Schizosaccharomyces pombe: one gene and its partners. The protein of the gene in region 2 purifies or fractionates together with the protein of the main gene of each other region. This does not show direct contact. Each region holds a gene or a part of one and is shown on either strand. Other genes may lie near its edges.

Region 1 (10,671 bases), 1.5 Mb from region 2:
TTAGTTAGAGGTGTGGTCTAACTGTTTTACTGTCTGTTGTTTAACTATTTATTAAAATTTATGTAATCATTATGAACAAGATCAAAATCATATTATTTCCCCCCCTTGTTTGCTAGTATTCGATCTGTGCTGCTACCACTACTAAAAAAAAGTCTAACTGTTTTGGTGCCAAAGCTATAATTCACTTATTATAGATTCGAAGCGTAGAGGACATTATTGTTCGGATATCTTTAGAACCTTTCAAACACGTTTGATATTCTTGCTTAATTCTCAGTAGTTGGTACAAAATACATTAACGTGGATATGGTAGCCAAAACAAACAAAAAGTTCTTTTTTAATTAGATAAAAAGCGATTACTCGGTATAAGTGCTTTGAACAATATACCTGAATATTAGTCATTATAGCTAGGACAATTTTTTTCTTACCCCTTTTGATGAATAACGGCAGTATGCCTTGTCAGAATAGTATATCGAATAACCCAATCCACACGTGCGGGATTAGGAATTTCCGGGCAGGCTTTATGTATAACAGAAGTAATTTCACTTTCGCTTAAAAGAGCAGAAGGATCAGAATGAAAAAATAACTTCAAATGATGTCGATCAGCAAAATTCAATAGGTCGTTTGGTAGTTTACAATTTTGGCCTATGTTAATTTGGGTGGATTCAGGAACGACATTCACGGAAGAAATTAGTCGTTGCAACTCATTGACACCAAATTCACTAACGCCTAAAGTGCCAATCTTGCCTTCCCCTACTTTTTCCTCTAATAGTTTCCAAGTGTCAACCCAGGACTGAATCTCTTGCGGAGGTATCTCGTCAATTGAATCGTAAATTTCATTAGAAGAGCTATTACCACTTTCCTTTAAGAAAGTTATATGAGGAAAAGATACCACCAGTGTGGAAACAAAATCAATGCCAAAAAGCATATGTAAATTATAAAACACCTGAGACAGTGTCTCTTCCCTCTTTTTTATGTCTATGTTCTCACCGTCCAAAAAGAAAAGCTTTACTACGCAAAGTTAGTGATCCCGTACAAAACATTCCAAGTGATTAGGGCATTGAGATGAGTGTTCTATAATGAAAAGCATTTAGAGAACTCGTGTATTCCAACTCATTCCCTTCCCTTATCAATGGTAAATTGCGGTACTTACCAATAATTTCATACTCCTCTTGTTTCCCATCTAGTTTTTGAGGCTTTTCGTTTACTGGAACCAAGACTTTAATGTTTTTCTTCAAATTTTCATCACCATCACCCGTGAATTTCGTGAGCTTAACGTTCTCTAGAGCTTTAACCAACTAGAAATATGTTAGAATACATTTATGCCTACAAATATTCAAGTATATTTCTGCCCAAACCCAAGCAGTACGATACTCGTTTGAATGTCCAATTCATCATTTGCTTACTTCTAAATTTGATTTTATACGTGAAGCATTCCAAATGCCAGACTTTAAGTTTTTCGTCACATCTCCAGTATACAAAATCAAGTGTTTTTTCTCGTTCTGAATCATTTTGCTTTCAAATAAGTTGAAGTATTCTTTTTAAACCGAAACGTCTTCCAGAAACGTATTTCAAAGGAAAAATCTAAGCGTTTGCAATAAACCAAGTTAATTGAATGTTGTGATGGTTGATGACAAATACATGCATTTAATTTCATAATACTAACAACCGACTATGTCAACTGAGAAACAGTTTAATGAATGTTTTATTGAAATACTAAAAATAAATTACGACATAAATAATTAATAGAAAACTGAAATTACACGAACACTTGTTATCGGTACTCGTTTCATCGACAATATTAACTCCATTTACTGAATACTCGATTAAAGGAATCTGCAGCAGTTCCAAACCCTACGAAACAAATATAAAATCTCTATACTGATTAATATTGATCCTTCGGAGCTAGTATGGATTGTGTAACAATATAGTGTTTGATTATTCTGTAAAAATAATGATTTCACCAAGCTCTTTTAGACATAAATCTATGATCGTCTTAAATGTTATATATATACCCATATATATCAATATATACTAGGTATCATCTTTAGTAAATTTTACGAGTAGGAAATTCTTGTCGCTAGTGGAGCAGAAGCAAAGTTGCTGAAAAATTGATTTATTAAATCTTTGTAGCTAATTAAACAAAGATGAACAAAGCGAAAATTTCCGTTTTTTAGTAAGCCAGTAATTTTATTAAATAAACAAAACTTTCTTCAAGCGATCTGATTTAAGTTTACTCAAACATGGTTGCATCAATATCCATCACAATGGCATTTTCCTCCAAAAAATCAACCCATTGGTGAAAGAATTCACTAGCCCACTTTACAGTGTTGCTATCCCCAATTACACAAAGATGCCTTTTAGGCCTTGTGATGGCTACATTGAGTCTTCTCTTTTCTGCCAAAAACCCTACTTCCCGAACATCGTTGCTTCTGACTAGAGAAAATATAATTGCCTCTTTCTCGCGGCCCTGCACTTTATCAACGCTGCCCATTTCAACCTCTATTCCCTTTTCCTTTAATAACTGTCGTATAAGGGCTACCTGTGCGTTATAGGGAGTAACAACTGCTATGTCCTTAGCTTCAAGTCCAGCTTCTAGTAGTCCTGATATATGATAGCTAACAATCTGAGCTTCCCAGTGATTGCTCTTACTGTCTTGGTAAAAATTTTGCATATCCTCTGATCGATCATCTTCTTGGTAATTCCCCAGGGTGTCGTAAAAGTAAATTGGTGAATCAGTAAGTTCAGTTTCTTCGACGTTTTCTAAATCCATAAGTAAGCGTTTTTTTACTTCTTCAGCGGGAACTAATTTGCTATCGTAAAATGTATCAGACGGGAATTTACTAATAAGTTCATGCATTCGATATTGTATATTTAGAAAACATTTAACCAAATCTCCTTGAGATTTAACCAATCGTTCAAACATAGATATATAAGGCCTTTTGCTTTGTACGTTTGGTGAAAGTTGCATATGATCGCCAGCCAGGATCACTTTATTCATTCCCAAAAGAGGAATCCAACATTGTGGTTCCAACGCTTGTGAAGCTTCATCAATTATCACTGCATCAAATCTTTGGCCTTTTAACTGCCTCGATCCAGCACCATGAAGAGTACAAAACACAACCTTACTTGCCGAAACAATATTCGCTACCGTCTTAGCTTCGTATTTTCGATAATCTTTGCGAAGTTCCCGAATATTTTTGTAAATTTCACGACGCTCTCTACCATTTTTAGTTTTTGTAATCTTACTTAAGCATACATCTATGTCTTCGCTTATTCCACGGATTACGTCTCCATTATCACCCGTTCGTGATAAAACATCCAAAGAATGATCCAAAATCGATGGAAGGAGCCTAGCAGGATGCCCTAAGCGGACCATGGGAATCCCAGAACTGCTTAGGCGATCTACTATGTTGTCAACTGCCAAATTGGAAGCACCGCAAACCAAAATACGCTTGTTTCTTAAAACCAACTGCTGTATGATTTCAACTAAGGTGTGGGTTTTACCGGTTCCTGGTGGACCATGAATTAGTGATAATTCCTTGACCGCAATGGAAAATTTAACTGCTTTCTTTTGGCTTGCATTTAATTCTTTGTTGAAATATTTAATGTCACCGATTAATTTTTGGTCTATAGAAACATCTGCCTTCTTCCTTCCAATCAAGGTGTAAAAAAGTGAGTTTCGATACTCCGGGATACTTCTTTTAAATTCCAACATAGTATGTCTCATTCTTTCATACGTAACGCGATTCACCAATTTGACGCTTTTCAACTGTCAGTCATTTTTTTGTAAGGAGACATTGATTAAAACTTACACTGACAAACGCGTGACGGAAGAAGGAATATCTTCTTCAGACTTTAAAGCAACAGATATATGTCTTTCATGCACTCGGGTAACCACACCCTCCACTGAGATATCTGTTTCGTTGGGACGTTTTTTTTTGGAGGATTGAAAATCCTGTCGAATACTGACAACATCACCAGGTGAAAAAGAGTTTGCTGGTAATTCTTCACCATTGGAGAACGCTGGATCTTTTTCAAAATCAATGATTCTACAAATTAAATGAGTTAAAAAAGAGTCATTATGTCGTTTCGAATGCTTAAATGTACGTTTTACCACCAAATCCAGTTTTTACAACTCCGATTCTAAGGTTGATAAGTGCTAATCCTTTTCTTTGTAATACGGACAACGGAAAGCGTTTTATAGACTTTTCTGTCTCATCAACTTCGGATTTTTGAGCTTCATCCACAAATTCAATTTCCCTATCCCCAAATTTTTGTATCTGACCATTATTAATTAATAAAGTTATAATATTAGTATTAAACTTACCCAATCTTCGTCCAAACAAATTTGTTCATTTGAACTAGACATGCTTGTTCTGTGTGAGTGAACGCTTACTCAAACGTAAATGATAAATCCCAAAAGTACGGTTTTATTAATTTAATTACTGATTGCTAGCTTTTTTTTTTAATTTGGATATCAAAATTCATTTCATTATTCTCTGGCCACTAGAAGATGTTCGTGGTGTTGGTGAATAATTTTCAAGGCGGCAGTTTTCAGCCTAAACTCTACCAACACACTGGGGATGGATGTGTTGATTGAGTGGGTTGCAATATACCCTCAGATATATGATATTTTGGAGCATATTAATTACGTTCCAAGCAACACTTTGCAACGTTTGCGTTTGCACCAACCCTGGTCAAAAATTGACTACGACGTTTGGTTTTTGTATGCATCGGACGAAATTCGTGAAACCTGCAAAGTCAAATATTATGGAGAAACAAAGACTTACGGTGAAGTTTTTGTTTTAGAAAATGAAAGAATATCCCAACTTCATCGTCTTTTTGTTTCTTGGACGGTCTCTGAAAGAGCAGAACATCTAAAGAATTTACTATTTGACGCTGGATTATCCAATTTACCTCTTGTTGAACTAGGGGGAAATGTCTTTTTTAACTCTCACGTGCCGCTTCCTTGTTCCCTAGTTTTAACTAAAAGTACACAGGAAAATTTAAATCGCATAACTCCTTACTTGGTACAAAAAAGACCAATTCTTCTGGCTGGTCCAGAAGGAATTGGTAAAAAGTTTTTAATCACACAAATTGCTGCGAAATTGGGACAACAGATCATTCGTATTCATCTTAGCGATTCCACAGACCCCAAAATGTTGATTGGAACATATACCTCTCCAAAACCTGGAGAATTCGAGTGGCAACCTGGTGTGTTGACACAAGCTGTAATTACTGGAAAATGGATCTTGTTTACAAATATCGAGCACGCACCTTCTGAAGTGCTTAGCGTCTTGCTTCCTCTTCTCGAAAAAAGGCAACTCGTAATTCCCTCACGTGGTGAAACAATATATGCTAAAGGATCCTTTCAAATGTTTGCTACATCATCTATGAAAACAAAGATTCTTGGGCAACGATTATGGCAGATACTTGATTTGACTTATCAACCAGATGAATGTGTTGAGGTAGTATCTACTCTATATCCTGTTTTATCAATCATTTGTCCTACTTTGTACTCTGTTTACAAAGATATATTTGATCTTTTTTCACAAAGATCGTTCCTTGCCACCTCAAAAATATATCGTCGATTGTGTTTGCGTGATTTCTACAAATTTATTAAAAGGGTTGCGTTTCTATATCACAAATTTATGATCCCTTCCGACCATGTAGTCATATCTCAAGAACTCCAAGATGCAGTTTTTAAAGAGGCTATCGATATGTTTGGTGCGTTTATTCCTTCTAGAGACGGTTTTGATCTTGTGGTGCGTAACGTCGCTATAGAGTTAAATATACCACCTGAAAAGGCTTTACAATTACGATATTCTATTCCTGTATTTCAAAATTTGGAACATAACATAAACATAGGTAGATGTTCACTTAAGAAATTGTCTACTATTCGTTCTTGTTCCACTAATTCATATGCTTTCACATCTTCATCTCTTGGCTTATTGGAACAGCTGGCTGCAGGTGTTCAAACAAACGAACCATTGCTTCTAGTTGGTGAGACTGGTACTGGTAAGACCACTACTATCCAACTTTTAGCTGGCTTGTTAGGTCAGAAAGTTACTGTAATTAATATGTCTCAACAGACGGAATCTTCTGATATGCTTGGCGGTTATAAACCTATCAACGCTTCCACACTTGGTCTTCCATTGCATGAGAGGTTTATAGATATATTTGAGCAAACTTTTAGTTCCAAGAAAAATGCTAAGTTTATATCCATGGCATCAACGTCAGCACGACGGTTTCGTTGGAAAACTTGCCTAAAAATTTGGAAAGAAGCTTGCAAATTGTCTAAAACGGTTCTTGATGGTCAACAACCTCTTCCTAATCCTCAAAAAAGACAAAAACGTTTATCTAATCAGGTTGAGCTTCGAAATCAGTGGGCTAAATTTGAGAAAGAGGTTGAAGATTTTGAAAAAGTTCTTACGGGAGGTTCCAATGGCTTCATGTTTTCTTTCGTTGAGGGTGCTTTGGTGAAGGCGGTTCGTTCCGGACACTGGGTATTACTAGACGAGATTAATTTGGCATCATTAGAGACTTTAGAACCTATTGGCCAACTTTTAAGCTCATATGAATCGGGTATACTTCTCAGTGAACGTGGCGATATAACTCCAATTACTCCTCATAAAAATTTTAGGTTATTTGGCTGTATGAATCCTTCTACAGATGTTGGAAAACGTGAACTTGAGCCATCTTTTCGATCAAGATTTACTGAAATATATGTTCATTCTCCCGATCAAAATTTAGATGATTTATTATCAATCATTCAAAAGTATATCGGTTCTCTTTGTATTGGTAATGAACATGTTATCCGAGAGGTCGCTGAACTATATCAAGTTGCAAAGAGTCTTTCTCTCGATGGTTCTCTTGTTGATGGAGCTGGTCAAAGACCACACTATACCGTTCGAACATTGAGCCGAACTTTGTCGTATGTAACGGAAATTGCTCCAATTTATGGATTGAGAAGATCCCTTTATGAGGGATTTTGTATGTCTTTTTTGACGTTACTCGACCATACTAGTGAAAGCTTATTGTACAACCATGTGGTTCGTTTCACACTAGGTGAGCTAAATAGGGATCAACAGAATGCAATACTCAAGCAAATCCCTAAAGTACCCGATCATTCTAGTTATATTGCTTTTTGCCATTACTGGTTGAGACGTGGGTCTTTCCCCGTAGAGGAACAAGAGCATTATATCATAACACCATTTGTGCAAAAAAATTTATTAAACATAGCTAGAGCTTGTTCTACTAGGATGTTTCCAATTTTAATCCAAGGACCAACTTCTAGTGGCAAAACAAGTATGATTGAATATGTAGCTAAAAAGACTGGACATAAGTTTGTTCGAATAAACAATCACGAACACACTGATCTACAGGAATATATTGGCACCTACGTTACTGATGATAACGGGTCATTGAGCTTTAGGGAAGGCGTTTTGGTGGAAGCTTTACGAAATGGATATTGGATTGTATTAGACGAACTCAATCTGGCCCCTACCGACGTTTTAGAAGCTTTGAATAGACTTTTAGATGATAATCGTGAGCTTTTTATACCCGAAACACAAGTTTTGGTTAAACCACATCCTGAGTTTATGCTTTTTGCAACACAGAATCCTCCTGGTGTTTATGCTGGTCGTAAACATCTTTCTCGAGCATTCCGCAATAGATTCTTAGAAATTCATTTTGATGACATTCCTGAAAATGAACTGGAGACGATTCTTCATAAGCGGTGTAAAATAGCCCCTTCATATGCTGCAAAGATTGTACAAGTATTCCGCGAGCTATCTCTTCGAAGACAAACCACCCGAATTTTTGAGCAAAAAAATTCTTTTGCTACTTTGAGAGATTTATTTAGATGGGCGTTTCGCGAAGCTGTCGGCTACCAACAGTTAGCAGAAAATGGTTATATGCTTTTGGCTGAACGCGCGAGAGACCAAAAGGACAAACTGGCCGTGCAAGAAGTAATCGAAAAAGTTATGAAGGTAAAAATTGACACTGATGGTATTTATAACCTTGACTCTATGGAGATCTTCCAGGATATGAGTTTAAAAGAGGGTCCTTTATCTAAGGTTGTTTGGACACGTCCAATGATTCGTTTATTTTGCCTCGTATGGCGCTGTTTACTAGCAAAAGAACCCGTTTTGTTAGTTGGAGATACCGGTTGTGGTAAAACAACTGTTTGTCAGATTCTAGCTGAGTGTTTGCACAAAGAGTTGCATATTATTAATGCTCATCAAGATACGGAAAATGGAGACATAATTGGTGCTCAAAGGCCTGTAAGGAATCGTTCCGCTGTAAATTACAGTCTTCATTCACAATTATGTGAAAAATTTAACGTACAAGAAAGTCTGGATTCTATTGACGATCTCATTGAGAAATTTGAAAAACTTTCTTCTTCTGAAAAGAACGACAATTTATCTAATCTGATCGAACGCCAGATTATCAAGTACCGCTCTCTGTTTGAATGGCATGACGGTGCTTTGGTTACCGCGATGAAGCAAGGCGACTTTTTTTTACTTGATGAGATTAGTCTCGCCGATGATTCCGTTTTGGAGAGATTGAATAGTGTTCTTGAATTATCTCGTACTCTTACTTTAGTGGAACACAGTAATGCTGCCGTATCTCTTACTGCCAAAGATGGATTTGCATTTTTTGCTACTATGAATCCTGGTGGTGATTACGGTAAGAAGGAACTTTCGCCAGCGTTGCGGAATCGGTTTACCGAAATTTGGGTTCCACCGATGGTCGATACAGAGGACATTCTTAAAATTGTCGAAGGCAAACTTCATAACAACAAAATCGAGTTAGCTCGCCCTTTGGTTGAATATGCGAAATGGCATGCGAATGAATACTTGTATACTGATGTGATTTCTATTCGTGATGTCTTATCCGCAGTAGAATTTATAAATGCATGCGAAATTTTGGATTTAAATCTGGTATTGTTTAATGCTGTTTCAATGGTTTTTATAGATGCGCTTGGTTCTTTCACGACCTTTTCTTTAAGTAACAATTTGGCATCCTTACACGCTGAACGTCAAAGATGTTTCGCTAAATTAAATGAGTTAGCAGGATCTAACATTATGGCATCCAAATCTGCCGATATATCAATTAAATTCTCCGACTCATCATTTTTTATAGGTGATTTTGGAATACCTTTAGGAGATTCTGTTGAATCGGATTCGACTTATAGTTTACATACAGATACTACTTTAATGAACGCTTCCAAGGTTTTGAGGGCTCTGCAGGTTCTGAAACCTATTTTACTGGAAGGTAGTCCTGGAGTTGGCAAAACCAGTCTTATTACAGCACTTGCTCGTGAAACAGGACATCAACTGGTGCGTATAAATTTGTCTGATCAAACAGATTTGATGGATCTTTTCGGCTCAGACGTTCCTGTGGAAGGTGGTGAAGGAGGGCAGTTTGCTTGGCGTGATGCTCCTTTTTTGGCAGCGATGCGTAATGGTCATTGGGTGTTGCTTGATGAATTAAATTTAGCTTCACAGTCAGTCTTGGAAGGCTTAAATGCTTGTCTTGATCATCGTAATGAAGCTTATATACCGGAATTAGACAAGGTGTTTAAAGCTCATCCGAATTTTCGAGTTTTCGCTGCCCAAAATCCACAGCATCAGGGTGGCGGTAGGAAAGGCTTACCGAGGTCGTTCATCAATAGATTTTCGGTTGTTTACGTTGAGGCTCTTAAAGAAAAGGACATGATTGAAATTGCAGCATGTAACTATCATCAAGTAAATGAGGATTGGCGTTTGAAGATTATCAAGTTTATGTTTCGTTTGCAAGACAATATTGAGAAAGACATTAGTTTTGGTAGTTTTGGAAGCCCTTGGGAATTTAATCTTCGTGATACTTTACGTTGGTTACAACTTTTGAATGATGCTCCAAAATATACATGTGTTTCACCTGCTGATTATTTGGAAGTCATGGTCCTGCATCGTATGAGAACGGTTGAAGACCGTGTTAGAACATGCGAATTGTTTAAAGAAGTATTTGATATAGATTATGAGCCCCGTACTATTGGTTTTAGCTTGAGCAGCCAATGTTTTAAAGTCGGACATTCACTTCTTGTCAGGGATGTCGAAAGACAGAAAACTTTATTGGACAGTCAAAATATACTTCAATCACAATTACCAGTTCTCGAATCGGTAATAACATGCATCAACAAAAAATGGCCCTGTATTTTGGTGGGCGACACTGCCACAGGGAAAACGTGCATTCTCCGTTTGCTTGCGGCTATTGCTGGTGCTAAAATTAAAGAAATGGCTGTTAATTCCGACACTGATACAATGGACCTTATTGGTGAGTATGAGCAGATAGATATATCTCGAAAAGCATCAGAGCTTTTTACGGATCTTTCTCAACAATTATTAAATATTGTCATCAAATATAGGAATTTCGATAATATTTTCCGTGAAACTTCCTTATATACATTAACGACGACTTCTTTCAAAACACACTCCCAAGCGTTTACACTGCTTCAAAAAGTAGTGGACCAATTGGATCAGTTAAAGATACATGAAACCCTAGTACATTCTTTAGGTGATATTCATGAAAAGGCTCGTAAACTGCTTGCAGAGTTTTCAGCTTCTCCAGCAGGTCGGTTTGAATGGTTTGATGGCTATTTACTAAAGGCTGTTGAAGAAGGGCATT
Region 2 (10,671 bases):
CTTACTTTGAGGTTGATCTTATTAAGATGGAGGAGATAAACAAAACTTCGGTAGCTTCCTCAACAAATCTTCCACCTGCGAATATGTCCTTATTTATAATGAAACCTTACAACCATGAAGAATATATGCTAAAGGCCCTCAACGAAGCAAAGAAATGTGAGCCTACTGATTCAGCATTTTGCGTTGGCGCTGTTATTGTACAGAATGGAAAAATCGTGTCAACGGGCTATTCTCGTGAACGACCAGGAAACACACATGCAGAGGAATGTGCTATAGAAAAATTTATGCTTAAAAATCCTACTGATTCTTTAGAGGGCGCTATAATGTACAGTACAATGGAACCTTGCAGCAAGCGGTTATCAAAAAAAGTGTCTTGTACAGATCTTATTGTTAAGCAAAAGTTTTCTACGGTAGTTTTGGGATCTCTGGAGCCTGATATATTCGTAAAATGTGAAGGTGTGGATTTACTCAAGAAAGCTGGAATAGTTGTTATCGAGAAACTGACTTTTCAAGACGATTGCTTACGTGAAGCAGTTCGTGGTCACCCCCCAAAGCACTAATTTTATTAATTTTTTTTATTCTTTAAACATTTAGACGACGTCGCTGGTATATGACTATCAACCCTAAATTATCGTTTTTCTGAGAGACTATTTAGGCCATGCATAGTTCATCATTTTTTTTGATCATTAAATTAAAATAACACGAAATTCCCCACATAATGATTTCTTTTTTCTATGATTTCTAAATCGAAAATAATTTCCTTCTTTGCTTTCTTCACTTACCCTGAGCAAATACCACCTGCGTTGGCCTAAGTGGCTGATTTGTATAAATCTGCTGTTAAAAACTTTTTGGATTTCTTTTTATTTTTGTGTTTTTATAATATTTAATTTGGATTTATCCGTTTTATACTCTGTTTTGTTTTTTTCAGAAAAAAATTTAACTCCCCTTTCAAAATGAATGCAGCCAAATCTTTATCTATTGTTCCATTCTTAGATTGTTTGTCAAGGCTTAAGACTACTCCACGTACTGGCTGGCTATATCATGGCATCGAAAAGCCGGAATCCATTGCCGACCATATGTATAGAATGGGGATTTTGACTATGTTATGTAATGACCCAAGCATCAACAAGGAACGTTGTCTAAAGATTGCCGTAGTGCATGATATGGCTGAGTCAATTGTTGGTGATATAACACCTCACGAGAATGTTTCGAAAGAGGAAAAGCATCGTATGGAGTCGGAAGCGATGGTTTCTATCACCCAGCAACTGATCCCCTTAAACCTTTCCTTACAAGCTGAGGAGATTAAAGAGCTATTTTTAGAGTATGAGTCTGCTTCCACTCCCGAAGCTAAGTTTGTCAAGGACATTGATAAATTTGAAATGATTGCTCAAATGTTTGAGTACGAAAGGAAATTTAATGGTGAGAAAGATTTGTCACAGTTCACTTGGGCCGGTAAATTAATTCAACATCCTCTTGTTAAAGGTTGGCTCAATGATGTGTTACAGGAGCGTGAGCAATTTTGGGCTTCGGTCCGTCAAAAGAAGCTTTAACTGATAAGAAAAGCGATACTTTCCCTGTATTTAAGTGTGCAGTTGAGAGAAACAGTTAAGAAGAAATATTTCTTAGGAATTCGCTCTAGTATCTTCAAGGCCCATTATTCAATATACCAATAGTCTCTCTTTTTTTTTATACATAGATACATTTAATAGAAGTTCAACATTAGAGCTTAGTTTAATGGTGCTATCTTCTGATATGTTTTTACTCTTCAAATGCTTTACTTTTCTAGGTTCTATCATTTACGTTCTCCCAACTTAGCTAAATATAACTTAAATACATCTACGATTAAGTCTTGTTTCTTTATAATTATTCGTTCAATAAAAAATGAATTCTTTACAGCACATTTCAAGAAGTTCATAAAATCACTTTGCTATCTGAATTTTTTTGTAGACTTAAGCTTTGAGGTAATTTACATTCCTTGGTCATTATAAAATACTAATATTGAGTTAAACATTCTCAAGTTTAAAAGGATTTTACTTCTCAAAAATTTTTAACCTTTTCTCCCTAGCAAGACTTTCCTTAACGCACGAGTAGTTCAGAACCTACACCACAAGCTCGAGATTTAGCAAGTAATTTCTTTAAGAAAACGGAAATATTGTTTTTTTGTTACTCCGTTGAATAAAGAAATCTTAGATGAGTGATTTATTAGAACGTGGCTCTCTTCCTCTTGTGAAATCTTGGTTGGCAATAACTTTTGCGAATGAAGAAGACTTACCATTTCAGGTGCCTCAAATAGCGGACATACTGGTACATCAAAAATGTATCGAAAGATTAGGAACGAGTGAAAATGCTCTTTCCGTTCGCAAGAATTGGTGCACGAGTTTAACAAAAATGTTACAATCAAAAGACTTTCGTATTCGCTGGTCAGCTATTATTCTCATTCACTGCACTATTTCTCAAAGTTGGGATTGCTTAGTAGAGCATGGAGCTACTTGGGCAAAACTTTTAATTGCTTTGTTAAACCGACCAGAAACTCCTAAAACATTGGAGATTGCCATGATAACCGTATCAAAAATGTTTAGCTCTACTGTAGGAAGACCAGCAGTTACAAGAGAATTGGTGACTCCTAATTTACCCACATTTGTGAATAATTGCTTACGAATCGCCGAATCTGGGAAGTGTCTTTGTACTGTTTGTTCTTGTTTGTATCAAGGGATCATCTCGCATTCACCTACCTTTCGTCCATTTGTTTCCTCAATAAGGAATATTTGCATTAAAATTTTAGATGGGGAAGAAGTAGTCCCTTCTTCATTACAGAAGAAAGCAGCTGTTCTTTATGCTTCGTTGTATCGATGTGTGGGGAAAGGAAATTTTGAAGACTATTGGAAGCAAAGTATTATTTCAATCCTAAAGGAATATCATCTTACTTTGGATTTTTTGTTTCAATTTGTTATAGAACCGCAAACATACCCAACTCGTGAAGAGAATTTGATGTTTCCAAAACTCAAAGGCCACTACGAAGAAACTTATCAGAAAGCTTTACACAGATGCAGAACTCTAAACTTGATTTTAATTTCTTTTTTAAGTACAAAGACGGATAAAATCGTTTTGCTTCCCATAAATGCTTTGAAGGATTTAATTCAACGTGTTTATACTGTACAACTTTCATTGCCTGTTAAAAGCGTAGAAAGTTCAGTTCAAGCTTTGCTATTCATGGTCCTTCCTCATTTGCATACGCTAGTTAATGAGTTAACCTTAAAGCTTTTTGTGGTAATTCCTCCAGCTATCATTCTTTCATTTGATTCTTACCTGGATTCATTAAATGATTGTTTACTTTCTGAGTCAACACATACTGGGGTTTTATGCTCTTCTTTAAAGTTACTTTCAAAGTTTTTGGATGTGACACATATGAATGTCCCTCTTTCAAAATACGAAAATATTGTAACGCTGGTATTAGAATATCTTGCTAATTCCTCTAAAGGTTTAGCATCCAAATCCATAGAGTTCTCTAAAAATCGTGGGCATTCTCAAAAAAAGCGAAAAACACTTTCTGAAAGTCAAGCAGGAGATACACTTATGAGTTCGGAAGAGTCTCATCAGCTTTATGATTCAGATGTCATGGATTGTTGTTTTTCTTTTTTAGCATCCATTTTGACTCATTCAATAGCATTACCACGTTTATTACGGACCAAAATAGATCTTTGCACCTTGCAGATATCTTTGTCTAACCCTACCTCAACAGTTTTGATATCTATGCATAATTTACTCCTTGCGTCAATTTTATCACCGGGAGATTCACAAGCAGTGATAGTACCTCATGCAATACGTATAATTTCTGGTCCATTAGGGCTTGTACATCCAGATCCTCTGGTCGCTTCACACGCAAGGTCATCGATGCAAACAATAGAATCGCTGATTCATCCTAGGTTCCCACCTTTGCAAAAACATCTTTCACCAAGCGAATTTGAAAATACGTTTGAGTCAAGATTTGAGCCTGTTTCTCTTGAAAACCAATCGCATATTTCTCCACCCCAGGTGGATTCTCAATCAGAGTATAAAGAAAGTAGTATTTTGGCTCCATCAAATCCTCCCTTTGAAACAGAGTCGATTACAGATTCCACTGAAATTGAAGGGATCAAAGAGTCTTTTGCATCTACAGATACAGGCTTACAGAATAATTCTACAGCTACCTCCGAGAACAAAAGAAGCGAATCAGAGCTGACTATGTCTAATGTTCTTTCTAATGAGGGTGACAGAAATGAAGAAGGTAGTGAAATCAACTCTTCTCAACCTTCAACTATTAATCACGGGACTGATCACATTAACATTGTTTCGGAAAACAAGGAAACAACTGTTTCACTGTTGCATGGAGATGTTGAGGTTGAGGAGACTACAAATGTTGCATTAAACAATTCTCAGGACACTGAAACCAAATTTACTGCTATAGACGTTGACTTTGTTGACCGACCTACTAGTGTAGTTTCAAGCCAAATTGAAAACATAAATGGTGATGAAAATGGAAACACAACTTCTTCAGTCGTCGAAACTTTTGAAAAAACAACGGATGTCGTAGATGAGAAAACGACTTCTATTAATGTGGAAGGAAACGGAGAAGATGATGAGGAGGAAGACAATATCTCTTTGCCAAGTATAAACTTGGAATCTGATAGTGATAGTTAGTCTTAATTTATAAAAAGGATTTGGGGGTACTGAATGTTTATTTTAAATTCTATTTCTAGATAAGTAGGTTGTCATTTAATCCAAGCTGATTTTTATAAAGTCCTGTATGTATTATCGTCATGGCAAAAAAGGTACATCAAGCTGATATTTGGAGGTTAAAATCAATTGATTTTGACCTCCAGAATACATTGCTTATGTGTTCTCCTTTTTAATTAGCTAAATTTTCCAGTAATACAAAGTACAAAGTCTTGTGTTATCCGCAAAAATTTTTAATTAATCATTTTTATACCATTGGTGTCACAAAAATCCCGATTATTTTAGAGTTAGACTGTCGTTTATGTTTTTTGAGAAAGAATTAAAACAACTTATCTAGTCTAGTGTTTAAAAGAATTTTATACTGTTTCATTAAGAATAATGAAGATATCCCTTTCCAAAGGCAAAAGAAAAGTCGATAACTATATAATGCAAGCTTCTAAACAAACTTGAATTAGTGATTGCAACATTTCTTTTGCCAACAATATTTAAATCCTTCATTGCTTGACACATGGTTTTATGAGAAAAATTAAGAAAGAACATTAAGTACTTCAAATAAATTTGTTGAAGGATCCAAAATTCTCCAAATAGACTTTTTTTATATGAAGATACCATTCATTCAGCTTTGACTCGCATGCGAGCTCTCTGGACAATAAACGATCAAGCCAGCGAGGTATACTGTAACCATAATATCACGAATAGTACAATAAACTTTTTTTTAAAAAAATCTAAATGTACTAACCAGAGAAGCATAAAAGAGCTCTTATAGTTCCATAAAGGATACGTTTTATCCACATAGCACTCTCTTAAAATTAAATGCTGGAATGTCGTTTTGGATAGATTATGCAATTGTGCAATAGTAATTCCTTAACAACTGATAGTTTTTGTTCAATTTATCATTCTGTTTTATTCATCCTGGATACCTTTAACTCCATGTCAGTATTTTCTGTTGTACGGCCACGAGAGTACGGATTTTTGAATTGGTTTCAATGTTAGGATCAATTACTAACGTTCCATTTCTTAGTTTAAGAGACGCATACTTCATTCACATCTTCTAATCCTGACTGTTCTAGATAAGAAGTCATCTTAATTCGCTACGTTAACAACATTATACATTAACTACACACATATTGCCAAATTTTAGTAATTCATAACAAGAGTGTTTTCCAGTAAAGGAGTTGGATCTTGAAATGTACCACTAAAATAGATGATTTTGAAATAAAAATGGAATGGATGGAATTATGAAAAACGACTTGTTATGGTTCGGCAACCACGTTTTCGACCTTACGCCAAATTCATTTGATTCTGATTTTGTCGAGCAGCTTTCGAAATTTGAGGGAAAAGAAGGATTGAAGAGGAAGTTATTTGACTCCTCGGAATACTTTCAAAACTTTTCATTTCAAGTAAACGATGATCTGTTGGGAAAAGATGTCATTCTCGATATTTCAAATCAACAACTAACACCCGCTGTGCCTGGGTGTGAGACATCATCCAATTCCAAACTCATAAGCGCATCTAAGGAAATTACTTCAGAAAGAAAAAGAGCTAAATCCTCAGTGTCCCCCTCTTATCTTACAGATTCATCACCCAGCGATTTATCTGTCGAAAACAAAGTTCTGCTAACATGCCCTAGCTGGGATGGAGAAAATTTTAAAAATTTAGAAGCTAGATCTCCATTCATATCTGAAGCGCCTTCTCGGGTATATGATTATTTTCTTCATAATCAGGATTGGAGTCCGAAACCATTATTTTCTGCACTGCAAGTTTACCCTTTAGCAACTATTTTCAATTGCGTGGCTGGTTTACCACAAGGATTTGAAAGCACAGTGTTTCCATGGAACAAAACCTCAAGCACATTTGAACTCGATCCGACCATCTCCGTTTCAGGAATGTCCGATGAATGTTTTGCTAGTATCGTCCAGAAATTTTCTGCAATTGGGGGTTTAATAAAAAAAGCTTTAAATGAATTCTCTTTATACAAGACCAACATTTCTTTTTATTTATCAAATTTCATTGTGAATGGTGTCTTGCAGTATCGAAAGGAGTTTCAGCGTTGGCTTCGTCTTTATGAGTTCCGTAGATTCGGTCTGATTGGTTTAAGTAACTTTGTTAATTCTTTTTCTTCATTCTTTGAGTTAATTTCACACTTCTTAATAAAATCGGCTCAAAACCTAAAAGGAGATTCCTTGTTAGATTTTCTTTTTGATTATGCGCGTTCATGTCAGAATACCATATCTTACCCCATTGCCCTACAGTGCTTGATATATTGCTCAAATCCCTACTTCAAAAGGCTTGAGCTTGCTTTAAAAGTTTCTTGTGCGTATGGTCACATTGATTCTTCATTGTTCTTATCACTTCCCCGTTTTTTTCCTTCTGAACTTTGTGTAAGCATTGAACAGTGTATTCAATTTTTGTCATTAATAAGGGAACAAAAAGAAATATTTAATAAAAACAACAAAGAATTTATTAACCCTTTGAACATTCGGTTCGCATATTCTTTCAACGACATAAATCAAGCTTGTGTAATAGAGGAGCGCTGCAACTTTTCTTCGCTTTCTTTTGGTAATTTGGAACAAACTTCCGTCAATAATGACAGTGAAGAATTTGAAACGCTGCTTGCTAAAATGAACATGACTCCAGATTTCAACGATAATTTATTACAACTTAAATTTACAGATGATGTGCGCAACGTCTGTCCGCTTAACTTGAATGTTTGCTGCTGTATTGCTGAGCCAATACAATCTTTTATTCTCAGTTTCTTACGTTCGACATATAAAGTTTTAAAAAACGATTTTCAGGTGTTTGATCTTTTAAATTTTTTTCATTCCACTTTTCTTTTTCAAAATTATGAATTCTCTGATAATGTCATTTCTCTGTTAAAATCAAGAAGGCTTGATAAATCTGACCGTAATGAGTTGGCTGAGGACTTGAACTCTGATGACAGATATAATTTTATTTCTCGATTGAAAAAATTCATTTTTATGGAAAAAGAAAAAAATGGGTTGAGCAGGTCTTTATCTAAGAGTATAACTTTTACATTGGATTCTGCGAGCGTTAGTGAATTTGAGGATGTGTACCCTGATTTACAATTCCAATGCCAAGTAATAGGTGCTTTACGGATATTATTTACTGATAACTCTTTAAATTATTATTCGAAAACTTTTTCTTACGTTTTACATCTCTTTCAAGCTCAATCAGACTTTGAATCATCTGTCGAATTGAAAGATCGTTCTATAGTAACAAAAACAACTATTATGTCATGGTCTAAGTATCAAGGCACGAAAGAATCTCTTTTTCAGTTTCTTTCAATATACATTCCAGAGTGTATGTTGCCTTTTACGAAATTACTGAAATCCATATATTCTCCTGACTGTCCTACGAACATACAAAATTCTGCAATTAAAAATGCGGCTTCAGTTCACGAGCAGTGCACTAAAGCAATTTATCAAAAGGTCAAAGAGTTGTTTGATACCATGAAACTCTGGGAGTCATCCATCAAAGTGTCATAACAAAAAACCAGATCCGGATGACGGATTTTTACGAGTGTAAACATGCTAATCTCACCTTTAAGTTTGAAGAATATACGATTTTACAGCAGAAAAAAATTTATAAGCACAACACTTACAGAAAATTCCTTGCATAAAATGATAAAGAATGTAAAGAAGTATTTGGATAAATTCATGAGTAAAGTATTTACTAGAGATATATCTTAATCTAAGTTTAAACAACCTGTGCCAAACAAAAGGAAATTAATTTAACAAAGAAAGGGATGAAGAATTAAAAGGAATCAAAATAGAAATGAACAGTCAAGCTTATGATTGATTGTTTGAAGATCAAACATATCAAGGTAAAGTGCCATGATCACAGGAAAATACGCAATGTAGTTTAGTAAGTTATTTTGGTGCAAAAATATATGCGCTTTAATGGTGGAACATACCAGTATGTCCCACTTAATTTGCTCGTTCAAAAAATGCATGCAAAAAAAAAAAAAAAGATACAAATCTGTAAATACCTCACGCAAATATAAGAGTGCAAATAAAGACATGTTGAGAAAAGAGTAGAGGCAAAAGCCAAAAGATAAAAATCTTACTGGACGCCTATCACTTTGGTGAAGTTGAGGGTAAACGGACAAGGAATGCATGAAAAAGGAAGGAGGTAAGTGATAATTTAATGTTAGCAAGGAAGACATGCAAGTAAGGAACAAGTGCCCATGTTCCTTATTTTAGATTTTTTTTAAAGAAAAAGGGAATCTATGCGAAATCCTTTACCACAAGAAGGCATTGTCACGGTAGTTAAAGACACTGGTAATGTTTGGATTTATTTTGGAAGTAGTGTTAACAATAACATGGTCATCGGCAACAGGGATACGACTGTCGTTGGTATATACACAAATACCTTGACCTTTATAGCCAATATTACGGCAAGTAGCACCACCAAATGGAGTGCGCAAAGCAGAGTTACAATTAACGGGGTATTGGGTGCCATTGAAGCAAGTGTTAACCAAGTAAGGGTAATCCGTATTACACAAAGTCATGTTGCAAGACCAATCCATTGAGGAATCACGAGTGAATAAGATGGGTTGATCAACAATGTTGGTATAGCTTAAAGATATACCGGAAGAACGCTTGCTGTGAGTGCTCGTACTTCCCGAACTAACGGAAGTGGTCACGTTGATAACATTTGCATTGTCAAAGTTGGAAGAATTAGCGCTAGTGGAGTAGTTGGAGGATCCGATCTGACAAAGACCGCGAGTTAGTCCGTAGGAAGAATTGGTTTCAACACATGCGGAACCACGACCCTTGGGATAACCAAGCACAGTAGGGCAGTTCAAGAGAACAGTGCTATGATTAGCGCAAATGGCAATTACATCGGGTGAAACACAAAGGTTGGAGCCACTTACATGGCAATATGTACCTTCCGAAATATTATAATAGGAGGTAGAAGCTATAGCAGAACTCAAGTCAGGAAATGTGTCAGTTGCACGCTTATATAAAGAAATCTCACGCCTTTTACAAGCAGGAGCACCTGGTATGCCACAAAGCTTGATGGACGAGACATAGGAGAACGAGCAAAGGAAAAAGATGGCCGAAATCGCAAAAGAGGCAAATGCAAACATTTTTTTTATAAAATTAAAATGTGAGAGTACGTAAAGTAATTTTTGGAGACGATAATTTTGAGAACGGAAAATGCAATTGAAAATAGGGGGAAATAATGGAACGAAAGGGATATCAGATGAATAGAAAATGTAAGGACGATAAGAATATATGGAATAAAAATGTAGAGACGATGAAGTCTTTTTGGATCGATTAAAAAGGAGGAAAGATGAACAATGATAATAAACTCAACTACTTCAAGGAGCTTTGTCAAACTGAAGCACCCAAACACTGGGACGACGTTTTACAAAGTAACTTAAGAGAAGGAAGACAAACGATGTAAACAAAAGATGTTTTCAAGTGGAAAACAGCCAAAATGCAAAGACCAGATTTTATAGCAAACCGCAATGGGGAAGCAGATCGATGTTTATATATACGAGTTTAGCCTCGTTCGTTAGACGATCCTGACATCATTTGTTTACAGTGGCAAGCTGGAGAAGCAGCCAATCAGCGTTGAGAATGTTCATCGCAACCAGCCTGCGTCACCGTGTAAATAAACAAACTCGGAGGGCAACCAGCCTAATGTCAACAAAACAATTCAGATGGCTGGCAATATGTTCAAAGGTGGCCGGATTGAACTGAATATAGCAAATGTAGAAAAGAAACATCATGAAAACATGATAAAGTATCTCAATATTATTATTATTCAGTCTCACTAGTTAGTTGGGCATTATGGACAAAGAGCTTTGATCATCGCAACTCACTCCAATTAACAAGTGTAAGTGAATAGTCGCGATACAAGTGCATCGATTCAAATCCATTCATTCAGCTGCTCATCAAAACAAAAGGCGGGACAATTGTGATGTGG
Region 3 (10,671 bases), on a different chromosome or scaffold from region 2:
GGTATTATCGTTTCAAAGTTAACGATCAGTAGCTAACTTTTATTTTTACTTTTTGAAAACTGGTCAGATGTCCGCCTACGTAGAACAATGGTTCAATAACAAACTTGAGTCATACAATGCCCAATAAATAACCCCTTATTGCCCTCAATTCTTCGTCTTGATTCAACACTAGGCGTACAATGGTGGTGTAAATAAAAGGCACATACATACTGGTTTACACTGAGTAAGGAGAGAGTGGGAAGAGTTCACCGAGCTCTCGGTGAATTTTCGGTAGCTTGTTCTCCGAAGCCTTTGTAATAACACCAAAGTATCCTACTGTAAACACTAAACAATTTGCAAGTCAACCTTTGATATTATGTGTGCCAAATTTTAGTATGAAGAAAAATGAAAAGGCAAACGTATGTATATGAAAAGAGGGAAATCGTGATTATCTAATGAATGGCAGATATCGGCCTCATACAATGACCTAATTGCAACAATTTGCAATCCTCGTATCTCTGATGTCGGTACATATCGCATTGAGAGTGTTGTCGGTGAAGGTACGATACTTTTGTGTTATTGTGAACGCTCAATACTGGACGGCTATCTAACAAGCATGGGTTGTAGGCAGCTTTGGAAAAGTTTATTTGGCAGCTCATTTACTGACAAATACAAAGGTATGGGTTATTCAAAGATTACTATGTCTCTAAGTTATAAAAAGAAGAATAAACGGCTCGTAAATTGCGAATATTGACCGTTCCAAAGTCGGTTGATTACATTATGAGAATGATAAACGTTTTATTCATCAATAAATTGATTGTACCTTGCTAACATTTTTATTAAAGGTTGTCCTGAAATCATCTTGCAGGAAACAAGCGATTATCCTTGCTCGAGAAATTCATCATCATCGGCGTCTTCTTCATCCAAACATCACGAGGCTTTATGAAGTAGTATGCACCGAAGACCGAATTTATCTTGCCATGGAGTATTGTCCAAATGGTGAATTGTATGACTGGGTAGCGAGAGAAAAAAGGCTGGATGAAAAGACCACTTGCCGTATCATGTGGCAGCTATGCTGTGCTATTCAGTATTTACATAGACAAGGCTGTGTTCACCGTGACCTTAAACTCGAAAATATTTTTCTAGATAAAGCCTACAATGTTAAGCTTGGAGACTTTGGGTTTTCTAGAGATTCTGATTGTTCCCGTAGAACATTTATGAACACACGTTGTGGTACAGTTGCTTATTGTGCTCCGGAGCTAGTACAGGGCCATAAATATATTGGTGAATGCGTTGATATATGGTCTCTGGGTATAATTATGTACGCTCTCTTAATAGGAAGGCTCCCGTTCGACGAGGACGATGTATCTTTAACTGAGCAAAAAATTATCAATGAATGTCCTCAATATCCTGAAACACTCTCCAAAAACTCTTCAAGCTTGTTGAAATCCCTCCTTTGCAAGGATTACCGACTTCGACCCTCTATCGATCAAATCATCTCTCACCCCTATTTCAAGGAAAATGGATATCATTCATCTTCTATTCGAGACCCAAGGCCTTCCTCGAAAGCAGAGGAAAAAGTTCGTAAAAGGCTTGAATTTGTTGGTGTTGACATGGATCAACTTAATGCCAGCATCTCACAACAGCGCTGTGACATGTTCTATGGATGGTGGCTTTTATTACTAGAAAAAGAAATGCGTAAGGAAAACAAAAAAAAGAAAGGTTTGTTTCATTTACATAAAGGTTCATCTTCGGCTGTACACATAGCTCCAGCAACTCCATCATTAAAAACCGCTCAAGTTTCTGTTATGTCCAACAATCAGGATTCTTTAAAAAGTCGGCATACATCGTCAGATTCAAGTAATTCTTTGCTTTCTACATTTCGTAGTTGGTTATTCGATCCTAAACAAAAGCATACTGCTGATACGTTAAGCTCATCAGCAATTAGACCAAGAACACCTAGTCCTTCGGCTGAAAACTATTTAACTCAAGAAAATTTTGATTCCGATAATTTATCTGAGTCTTTAGACAATTCAGTTGAGAACCTTACCGTGTTTCCTTCGATTAACAGTTTTGGAAGAAGACACTCAAATCTTCCTCAAACAACGCACGTTGATACAGGTGAGCAAAACACACCATTCACTCCTCCTCTTTTAAAAACGGTAAACCTCGACGGTAATAAAGACTTTACCTTCCCCTCGAACTCTCAAAATAGCCCTTCTAAAAGTTCGAACCTCTCAATTAATATTGATATTCCACCTTCTCCTCTGCAAAATACTGTCATATCTCCCCAGCCGACTCGACGATCACGAACTCCCATACGCAGCTTGTCTGGGCGTTCTTCCGTTGCTTCTTCGAGGAATTCATCCCGTACTAGATCCTATTCAAACGTCTCTTCTGCATCTTCAAATTCTTTAATTTCTATTATTTCATCTAAACCTTCCAGTTCGACCGTTCAAAGGCAAACACCTTTTCATTCTCCTTTTGAACGATTGCACAAAAGTTTCCATTTTCCTTCCGGAGAGCCATTTAACACTCGTATAAATGCTACTGCAATTTTTACAGTTGGTTCTGGTAGAAAAAACCCGCAATCATCTTCCTCTCTGATGTTTAATCAAAGCTCAGTCAAAGAGGAAGAGGAGCCGGAAGAAACCAGTTTTTCAGACTCTTCAAAACATTTCACAGACTTGCTCTGAAGCTTAAGTTTATTACACGATTACTAAGCTACGTGGTGTGTATAATTTGAATTATTAACTTATTTTGCTTTAATAAAGTGTTCTCTTAAATAATTTAATCAAACTTTTAATCTCTAGTAGTAATGACCTTGTTCCTTAACTTATCCCGCTTGTACCACACTAAATCATAATCTGTCAATTTTTTTTATGCTACATCTTTTTTCATTCGCTTTTTCCAAAGGATGAGGATTGATTGATTTGAAGTTGTTTGTCAGTACCTCCCGTAACAATACCAATGGATTTATTCCAATCAACAGCGAAAAGTTTATCCCACTGAGAGCCTGTTTTTTCTGCTCTAGAAATTGTGTAAATACTGCCGGATGTAGCACGGACATCCCAAACACGACAAGTGTTATCGTGAGAGACGGATGCAAACATATAGGGATTTTCTGGGCTTGCCGATAATCCGGAAACTAAATTCTTGTGGCCGGATAAAGTATGACTCACAATTTTGTCGCTTCCCGCTCGAGGGTCGTGAACAACAATGTGTCGCGCAGAGGAACCACAAATGACTAAGTGTAGGTCAGTAAGTTTTTCCACGCATAAAAGAGGAGCTTTGGTTATCTTGGAATCAACATTTTGCCCAGTAATGAGATCCCAAGTCTTAATTGTGTGATCTTGGCCTACGGAATATGCAACACTTGGATCATCAGAAAAGACGATATCCATCACCGGTCCAGTATGCCCCTCACAAAGGATCAGCGGAGAGCGAGCCCCAGCTTGAGGTGTGAATTCTGCATTTTTGCGACGTCTCTTTTTAGATATAGACGAGGAAAAGGACTCGAGGGTAGTCTCAGGAGACCTTTCAAAATCCCAAATTCCGACAGTATTATCCGCAGAAGCAGAAATAAAAACGCTTGAAGATTCTAAGGATCGTACGCGCTCAACTATATCCTTGTGCCCTACGAAAAGAGTTTGAAGGATACCGGAGCTTTTCTTTTCAGCATCCAACATTGATTCTGGCTCTTCGATCACCCAATGAAAAATTTTTTGATCAAGTGAAGCAGTGAGAAAACTTTGATTAGGTATATGCCAGGATGCACTTTTTAAAGATGATCCACATCCAGTTGATTGAAATTTTATTTCACCACTTTTATCCCAAACACGAGCTATCCCATCGTATGAAGAAGTAAGAATGGTATCTGAGGTTAGTTGAATACCAGAAATCCAATCGTCATGAGAGAAAGAAGCTAAATATGCAGGTGGTAATGTAGATTGGATATATTCAATATCAAGAATCGACTCCGTAGACAATCCGTTTTGAACTATGTACTCATCGAGAGTAGTTTTTAACAGCTGACCCTGAACCAAAAAATCAAAGGGTGTTGGCTTTTCTAGTAAAGTTAGTAAGGAAATAAATTAAATTAACTAAAAAATCGCAAAATTGTATAGCAATGAAGCAAAACGAGGATGAAAGGTAAAAGAGACAAAAAAATAAAAAAAGGGCTTTTAGTAATGCATCTTCAAGAATTTTACAAAATTTTAAGAAAGGCGTGAAAAAGAACACTAGAGTAACTCTTAGATTCGAGAAGCCCCCATTTGATTCTCGCCAACAAATTTCAGCTTCTACACAGTTTTATAGTAATTGGGCCTTGCATGAGACCAGCTATTCTATTGCTTCAAATTTTCTTCAAGTTGGTTGAATTATGCGACTTTTCTCCTGCTTTGACCCAGTATGTGTTAACTGAAAACATACCTGTTTTTAGAAGATGATTTACAATTTGAGATAAGCCGTACCGCTTTAAAGATGTAGGAACAAAAATCGGCGTGTCACCAACAGCTAAATCCTCATTTCTAGTAGTAAAACGGACTTGAACTTGGCCTGAAGGAGCGCTTTGGGCATCCATTCTGTTGTTGGTGGAAGGAGTGTCGAAAAGATCAAAATTTCCAGTACCAAAAAAATGAGGATAATGACTTTTGGCTGAATTGATCAAGATGTTACGAGACTGTTTTTTAAGAATTTTCAAGTTTAATCAACCCAATTCGTATTCATCGATAGCGGTCCTAATTCAGCTTTTTTTTTTGAGTAGAAAAGTAACAGTTGAACAAAATCTAAGAATAACAAAAATAATATTAGAAGATTTAAAGTATGCTTTAAAAGTAAAAGGATAAACTTTTTTAAAGCTTATTTTTTTCCAGAGTATGCTCGAATTGTAAGATTTAACGTCTTTTGAAATACTTCTTTTAAAACGACTTAAATGATGATTTGACCGGTATTATTTACAGCTCATTATAACATTGTAATTTTTTGGAATGCTTTCACGTTATTTGAAAGAAGATTTCAATTATGCCTTTGAAAGCATCTATAGCGCTTTTAACACATAGCCGGTTTACCAACTGCATATATTCCCTTCTTGAGCCCACCACTTTTCAAGAAATTCCAAGAACCAGTACTTTTCTTTTTTAAAACTTAATAAAGATCTATCAATTTATCCTTTTTCACCAATTTGAGTGCAATACTCGAGAAATTTTGGAGAGTTTCTCAATTAGCGAGAAGACTTTGTTTAGATCGTTGATTTATCGTGTGTTTATATTTTTATAAAAGAAGAGGAGACTCAATTGATTCTATCCTCGAAAAAGGTTTTATTTTGGGAAAGAATTCATCGGTTCTAGGATTTGGTGGGATTTTAGGACTCAGGCTGCTACATATTTTTATGTATATTACTTTGCGCTGTTCGCAATTTTAATTATTTCTTACAATTGATTACTTCTTATAATTTATTCTCATTCTTTTTTGTCCTCTCACATATTGATCGTCGATAAAAAAAAAATTTTATTGAAGATTAACAGGACATCATGGGTTTGGCTGGTGTAAAAAAGAAACAACAGATTGGTGTGGATCCTCGGAATTCTAAATGGGCAAAAGATACAAATAGATTGGGATTTAAGCTTTTATCCTCCTACGGTTGGGTGAATGGTAATGGCTTGGGTGAAAAGCAACATGGTCGCATTCATAACATCAAGGTCAGCCTAAAAGATGATACACTGGGAATTGGAGCCAAAGCAACTAACGATCTTGAATGGAGCGGTTTAGGTGAATTCAACGCTATTTTTGGTCGACTTAACGGCGATGAGTCTGCGTATGGTGTCTATGCTGAGAAAGCAAAGGTGCAGCAACTAACATACGAGAGACAGAGTGCGAATGAGAAGGGTTTAAAATCACTTGAGCTATCCAGACGATTTGTTTTGGGTGGGACGTTTACTAGTGAATTTTCTGAATGGATGCAAAAAGCAGAGGAGGATGAGGATCGTGTATGTGAAGATGCGTCTTCATCCGATGAAGCTAAGCGTGAAAAAAGAAAGAAGCACTCTTCTAAGAAGAAAAGTAAGAAAAAGACCTCTACTGGTTCGGCTCTTGATCCTAAAAAGTTGGAAAAAATAACGAAGAAGAAGAAAAAAGAGCACAAGAAAAAGGATAAGGAAAGTTCTTCAAAAAAGAGAAAATCAGGCTCAAGCGACAAAGAAGAGAAAAAGAAAAAGAAAATAAAATTAAAGGATAAACCAGAGTCCACTTCCTCTGTCGAGAAGGTCAAAGAAGGCAACCGACCCGCTAGCATTCATTTCCATACCAGAAGAAAATTTTTGGCACAAAAGCGAGCAGCAGTAAGCGACCCAGTTGCTTTAAGGGAGATTTTAGGTATTAAAGGTTAGGAAGTGACTTCTTTTGCTATTTTTCTAACTTGCGGAATATAATAAACGAGTCTTAGAAGTTATGGGTATACAATACTTTAAGAGGAAGGGTTTGTCGGTTTTTTAATCTATGTCTTAATAGAAGGTAATATTTAGTTGATTTTGGAAGAAATTGCTGGATTCGGGCTTGTAATTTCGAAAAGCTACTTATGTCGTATTGTAATCAGCTATTGAGAGTAATCGCGTTCGTATTTTATGACTCTGGTTTGTGTAATACGGGATTTTAGGTAAAAATATTGACGACTTCATCCTGAAAGTTTTACATTACTAAACATTCATTAAAGTTACGATAATCATTTACACACATACCAATCGAAGTATCTCATATGCCATACAAAGAATTAGTTAAAAATAACATTTCTATTAAGCTATGGAGATCGGAAGGCTATTCCTCCATCACTAAAACTCTGGTTATATTCACATGCATTAAATTGCACGTTTCCATACAAAAGGAAGTCTAAAAAGAAAACTACTCGAGCTAGTACAACCACCAATTTAAAAGTAGATCTCCTGCTAGAGAAAGTTAGTATAGTTCAGTAAAAATAGAATAGTATGTGAATACAGAAAAATCACAGTAATGCTCAGCAATATATATCTACTATCTTTTCCCGATTTTTTTTCAACATAATTAAATCTGTTGTCCCTATCAAGAAATCATCTTCGCAACTGTCTTTTTTCTTAAATTATGTATTGCACTTACACATGATTAACAATTACAATTTCAACCGCAATATTATTGCGTTGTTCTTATAAACTCATTGTTGAAGTATATGGTTAATATCAAACTGCTACGGCGCTTCAGAGAATTTATAGTGCTACTCAAAAAGAATAACTGAGTGAAGTGGGAACATCGTATTTTTAAATGTGTCTTTTAGTATTTTTCCTATTGTTTTATGTTTCTAAAACTTGCTAGATGAAAACTTCAAGCAACTAACTTCTGGCATACGTGTTTGTACCAACGAATACCTTGCCTGGTCGAAACGCACCAGCAGCCAACATTTCCAGCTGTCCTTCATTTGGAGCTTGGGAAAATGGACATCAATGATCCATCATTTTCATCGACTGAAAATGGTATTTATGAACTTCTATCACGTGGCTATGCTGCGATTGAAGCTGCAACGGAGCGTGATTTAAAATTGCCAGAGTTAGGAGACATTATTGGTCGTATGTTGAAGCAGGTTTGATCAATTCTGAAGGCTAATTATTTTTTTTTAGAAGTACACGCTCCAGAATACATATCACAAGTTCTGAGTGGTTGGAAGCCGTTTTACCTTCGTTCTGTTGTAAATATTCCTGACCGTATATTTGAACAATACAATCGTAAGTAAACGAACTTTATGCGCCTTGGTAACTTTTCTAACTTATCATCGGTTTAGGTACGGAATGTTTTACTCAAATGGGGCTTTTTGCTGAAATCCAACGTGCTTGGATAACTGTGGACAACCGTTTGTTCTTATGGGATTATCTTTCGGGTCAAAACTTTCAAGCTTACGAAGATTTATCTCATACCATTGTCAATGTAAAGTTAGTGAGACCAAAGGCCAATGTTTTCGTCTCGGAAATCCAGCATTTACTCGTAATAGCAACTTCACAAGAAATGCTCTTATTAGGTGTTACAATCGATGAGAAAACTGGTGAATTATCCTTCTTCTCAACTGGTATCCAAATATCTGTTCAAGGGATTAATGTTAATTGTATCGTTTCTTCGGAGGATGGACGTATTTTTTTTTCCGGAAACAAAGATCCCAATTTGTATGAATTTTCTTACCAACTCGAAGAAGGCTGGTTTTCTCGTAGATGCAGCAAAATTAATATTACCGGTTCTGTTTTTGATAATTTTATTCCTTCTTTCTTTTCTTTTGGTACTCATGGTGATGGCATCAAGCAGATTGCTGTTGATGACTCCCGTAGCTTGCTTTATGTTTTGCGAGAGACCTCTTCTGTTTCTTGTTATGAACTTACGAAAAACGGCGTAAATCGTTGTGTCTTTTATTCTTTCAGCTCTATGATCTCTCAAGCTCAAATGCTAAATGCAACCTCTCCCTTATTGGATCCTCGGACTACTCAAATAGTTTCCATAGTTCCTATTCCAGCATATGAATCACAGCAAATATACTGTGTCGCAATTACCTCTACAGGATGTCGGTTTTACATGAGAGGTGGCCGGGGCCCCATTTCTCACTATGCACCGTCTAATTCGACTTTGTCGTCCACACCTCCTAGTACTTTACAACTTACTTTCGTTCGTTTTCCTCCTCCTATGCAAGTGGAGAATTATGCCTCTTCCCGCAATTATCCTGCTAACCCTTTCTTCCTGCAAAATCAATCTACATCTCAACAACAACCTGAAAGGTCAAGTGCTGTAAAAACTACTCCTATGAAATGTTCTTCTCTGAGTAATATTTATACATCCGATTTGTTTTTCGCCATAAGCTCCTCCAATACGAATGAGGGCGACGTCGTCTGTTGTACTGCTCCTGAAGTTGGTAGAATTGCCAATGCTTGGCAGAGTGGTACGCAACCGTCTCTCATAGAGTCTTCCATGTACGTTCCTATTAAGGGTTTTGTACAAGATATTAAATGCATTCAAAATTCTCGAGAACGCAATGAGTTGGTTTCTCAATTTAACACACCTCCTCCTACTTTTGCCATACTTACGAATACAGGGGTTTACGTGGTAGTTCATCGTCGTCCGATCGATGTCCTCGCTTCTGCTATTCGTATGGGACCTTCCCTATCGTCCGGAATCGATGGCCAAGTTCAACTGTTTTTTGAGAGTGTTGGTCGCGCTGAAGGTTGTGCAACTTGTTTGGGTATTGTAAGTGGATGTCTTGATCAGGGGGATTTTAGTCATGCTGCAGCAAACTTCTCTGGCTCCACTACTAAACTTGCACAAGCGGATCTTTTGGACATAGTAAAGAAATATTATATTGAGTTTGGCGGTAAAGCTTTTATTGATCAATCTCGCTATAACAACCAGTATGATTCTTCTTCTTTAGAATTCGTTCGTTTGTCTGGTTGTCATGATGGTTTGGCGTCCTCCATTTCGCGTATTATTAGAAATGTTTGGAAAAATCATGTCATTATAGCTAAAAAAATGCAAAATAAACGTATCCATTACGCGCCCGCATTTAACGCTACTGAAATTTTAAAAATACAATCTGGCTTGTTATATTTATCTACGTTCCTTGAAAATAACAAAAGTTTTATTGAAGGCCTTAATAGCCCAAATACCCTCATCGGCTCATCCAATGTTGCTGATGAAATTGCTGTACAAGCTGAACATAGAGCTTTGTCTGCATTGCTCTTGGTCCTCCAACAAATTGTTGAGGGGATATCGTTTTTGTTATTCTTAAACGATACCGGTGTATCCGATTTTCATGAAATTGTTTCTTCTACCTCCATTGATATTCAAAAATCGTGTTCAAACATGACCTTTGGTGAGTTTTTTACTTCGAAACGGGGTCGAGAAGTAACTAAGGAACTCGTAAATTCTCTTGTCAATAGGCATCTGCAGTCTGGAGGGAATATTGATATGGTTAGTCAGCTTTTACGTAAAAAGTGTGGAAGTTTTTGCAGCGCTGATGATGTTTTAATTTTTAAAGCCGTGGAGTCTTTAAAAAAGGCTAAGGATACGGTCGACATTGAAGAGCGACAATCTCTTATAGAGTTATCCTACACCCTCTTTAAAAAGGCTGCACATGTCTTTACTCCCGAAGACCTTCGTTTAGCAGTTGAGGAATACAAGTCTTTGAACGCCTATACAACCGCGGTAAACTTAGCATTACACGTAGCAAGTGCGAGAGACGATCGAAATCAAGCTTTGTCTTACCTTGTCGATGGAATGCCTGAGAACGATCCTAGGCGTGAACCTTTCGAGAGCCGTACAAAGTGTTATTCGTACATTTTTGAGATTTTGGATTCTTTGGAATCTCAAATGTCAAATGATTCGAGTGCAATTAAGGTTGATGTATACGATACTATACAGCGTTCAAAGGATGAACTTTTTCATTATTGCTTTTATGATTGGTATTCATTTAAGGGGCTTACAGATCGCTTGATTGAGATAGATTCCCCTTACATACAGAGTTATCTGGAACGTAACAGCACCAAAGACATGAAAATTGCTGACTTACTATGGCAGTATTATGCTAAACGAGAACAGTATTATCAAGCTTCAATAGTCTTGTATGATTTGGCTACTACCCACCTTGCATTTAGCCTTGAACAACGCATTGAATATCTTACACGAGCCAAAGGTTTTGGT

What was found.
Region 1: the proteins of rix1 (region 2) and mdn1 purify together in Schizosaccharomyces pombe (affinity purification with mass spectrometry, with the first as the bait; one study listed by BioGRID). This does not show direct contact.
Region 3: the proteins of rix1 (region 2) and ytm1 purify together in Schizosaccharomyces pombe (affinity purification with western blotting, with the first as the bait; one study listed by BioGRID). This does not show direct contact.

Annotation. Positions count from the first base shown.
Region 1 is NC_003421.2:1,895,921-1,906,591, forward strand, and holds the start of mdn1 (midasin), read left to right. Parts: upstream 1-4,561; 5' UTR 4,562-4,583; coding exon 4,584-10,671. Other genes in the region: glutamate-cysteine ligase regulatory subunit Gcs2, read right to left, coding at 354-384, 426-1,008, 1,151-1,295, 1,404-1,508; SPOM_SPCC737.07C (DNA polymerase alpha-associated DNA helicase A), read right to left, coding at 2,231-3,761, 3,813-4,049, 4,108-4,280, 4,328-4,369. UniProt on the Schizosaccharomyces pombe protein: Nuclear chaperone required for maturation and nuclear export of pre-60S ribosome subunits.
Region 2 is NC_003421.2:429,943-440,613, reverse strand, and holds rix1 (ribosome biogenesis protein Rix1), read left to right. Parts: upstream 1-2,094; 5' UTR 2,095-2,190; coding exon 2,191-4,677; 3' UTR 4,678-4,810; downstream 4,811-10,671. Other genes in the region: rib2 (bifunctional CMP deaminase family methyltransferase/riboflavin-specific deaminase), read left to right, coding at 1-560; hdd1 (metal-dependent HD domain-containing phosphohydrolase), read left to right, coding at 954-1,550; gamma tubulin complex GCP6 subunit Alp16, read left to right, coding at 5,940-8,219; SPOM_SPCC306.11 (uncharacterized protein), read right to left, coding at 8,975-9,826.
Region 3 is NC_003424.3:5,004,297-5,014,967, forward strand, and holds ytm1 (ribosome biogenesis protein Ytm1), read right to left. Parts: upstream 4,583-10,671; 5' UTR 4,562-4,582; coding exon 4,411-4,561; exon of another isoform or gene 4,303-4,410; intron 4,130-4,302; exon of another isoform or gene 4,049-4,129; coding exon 2,877-4,048; 3' UTR 2,720-2,876; downstream 1-2,719. Other genes in the region: serine/threonine protein kinase Ppk16, read left to right, coding at 375-398, 446-539, 607-656, 825-2,675; pxr1 (PINX1 family ribosome biogenesis protein), read left to right, coding at 5,511-6,365; nucleoporin, WD repeat Nup155, read left to right, coding at 7,436-7,568, 7,620-7,724, 7,781-10,671. UniProt on the Schizosaccharomyces pombe protein: Component of the NOP7 complex, which is required for maturation of the 25S and 5.8S ribosomal RNAs and formation of the 60S ribosome.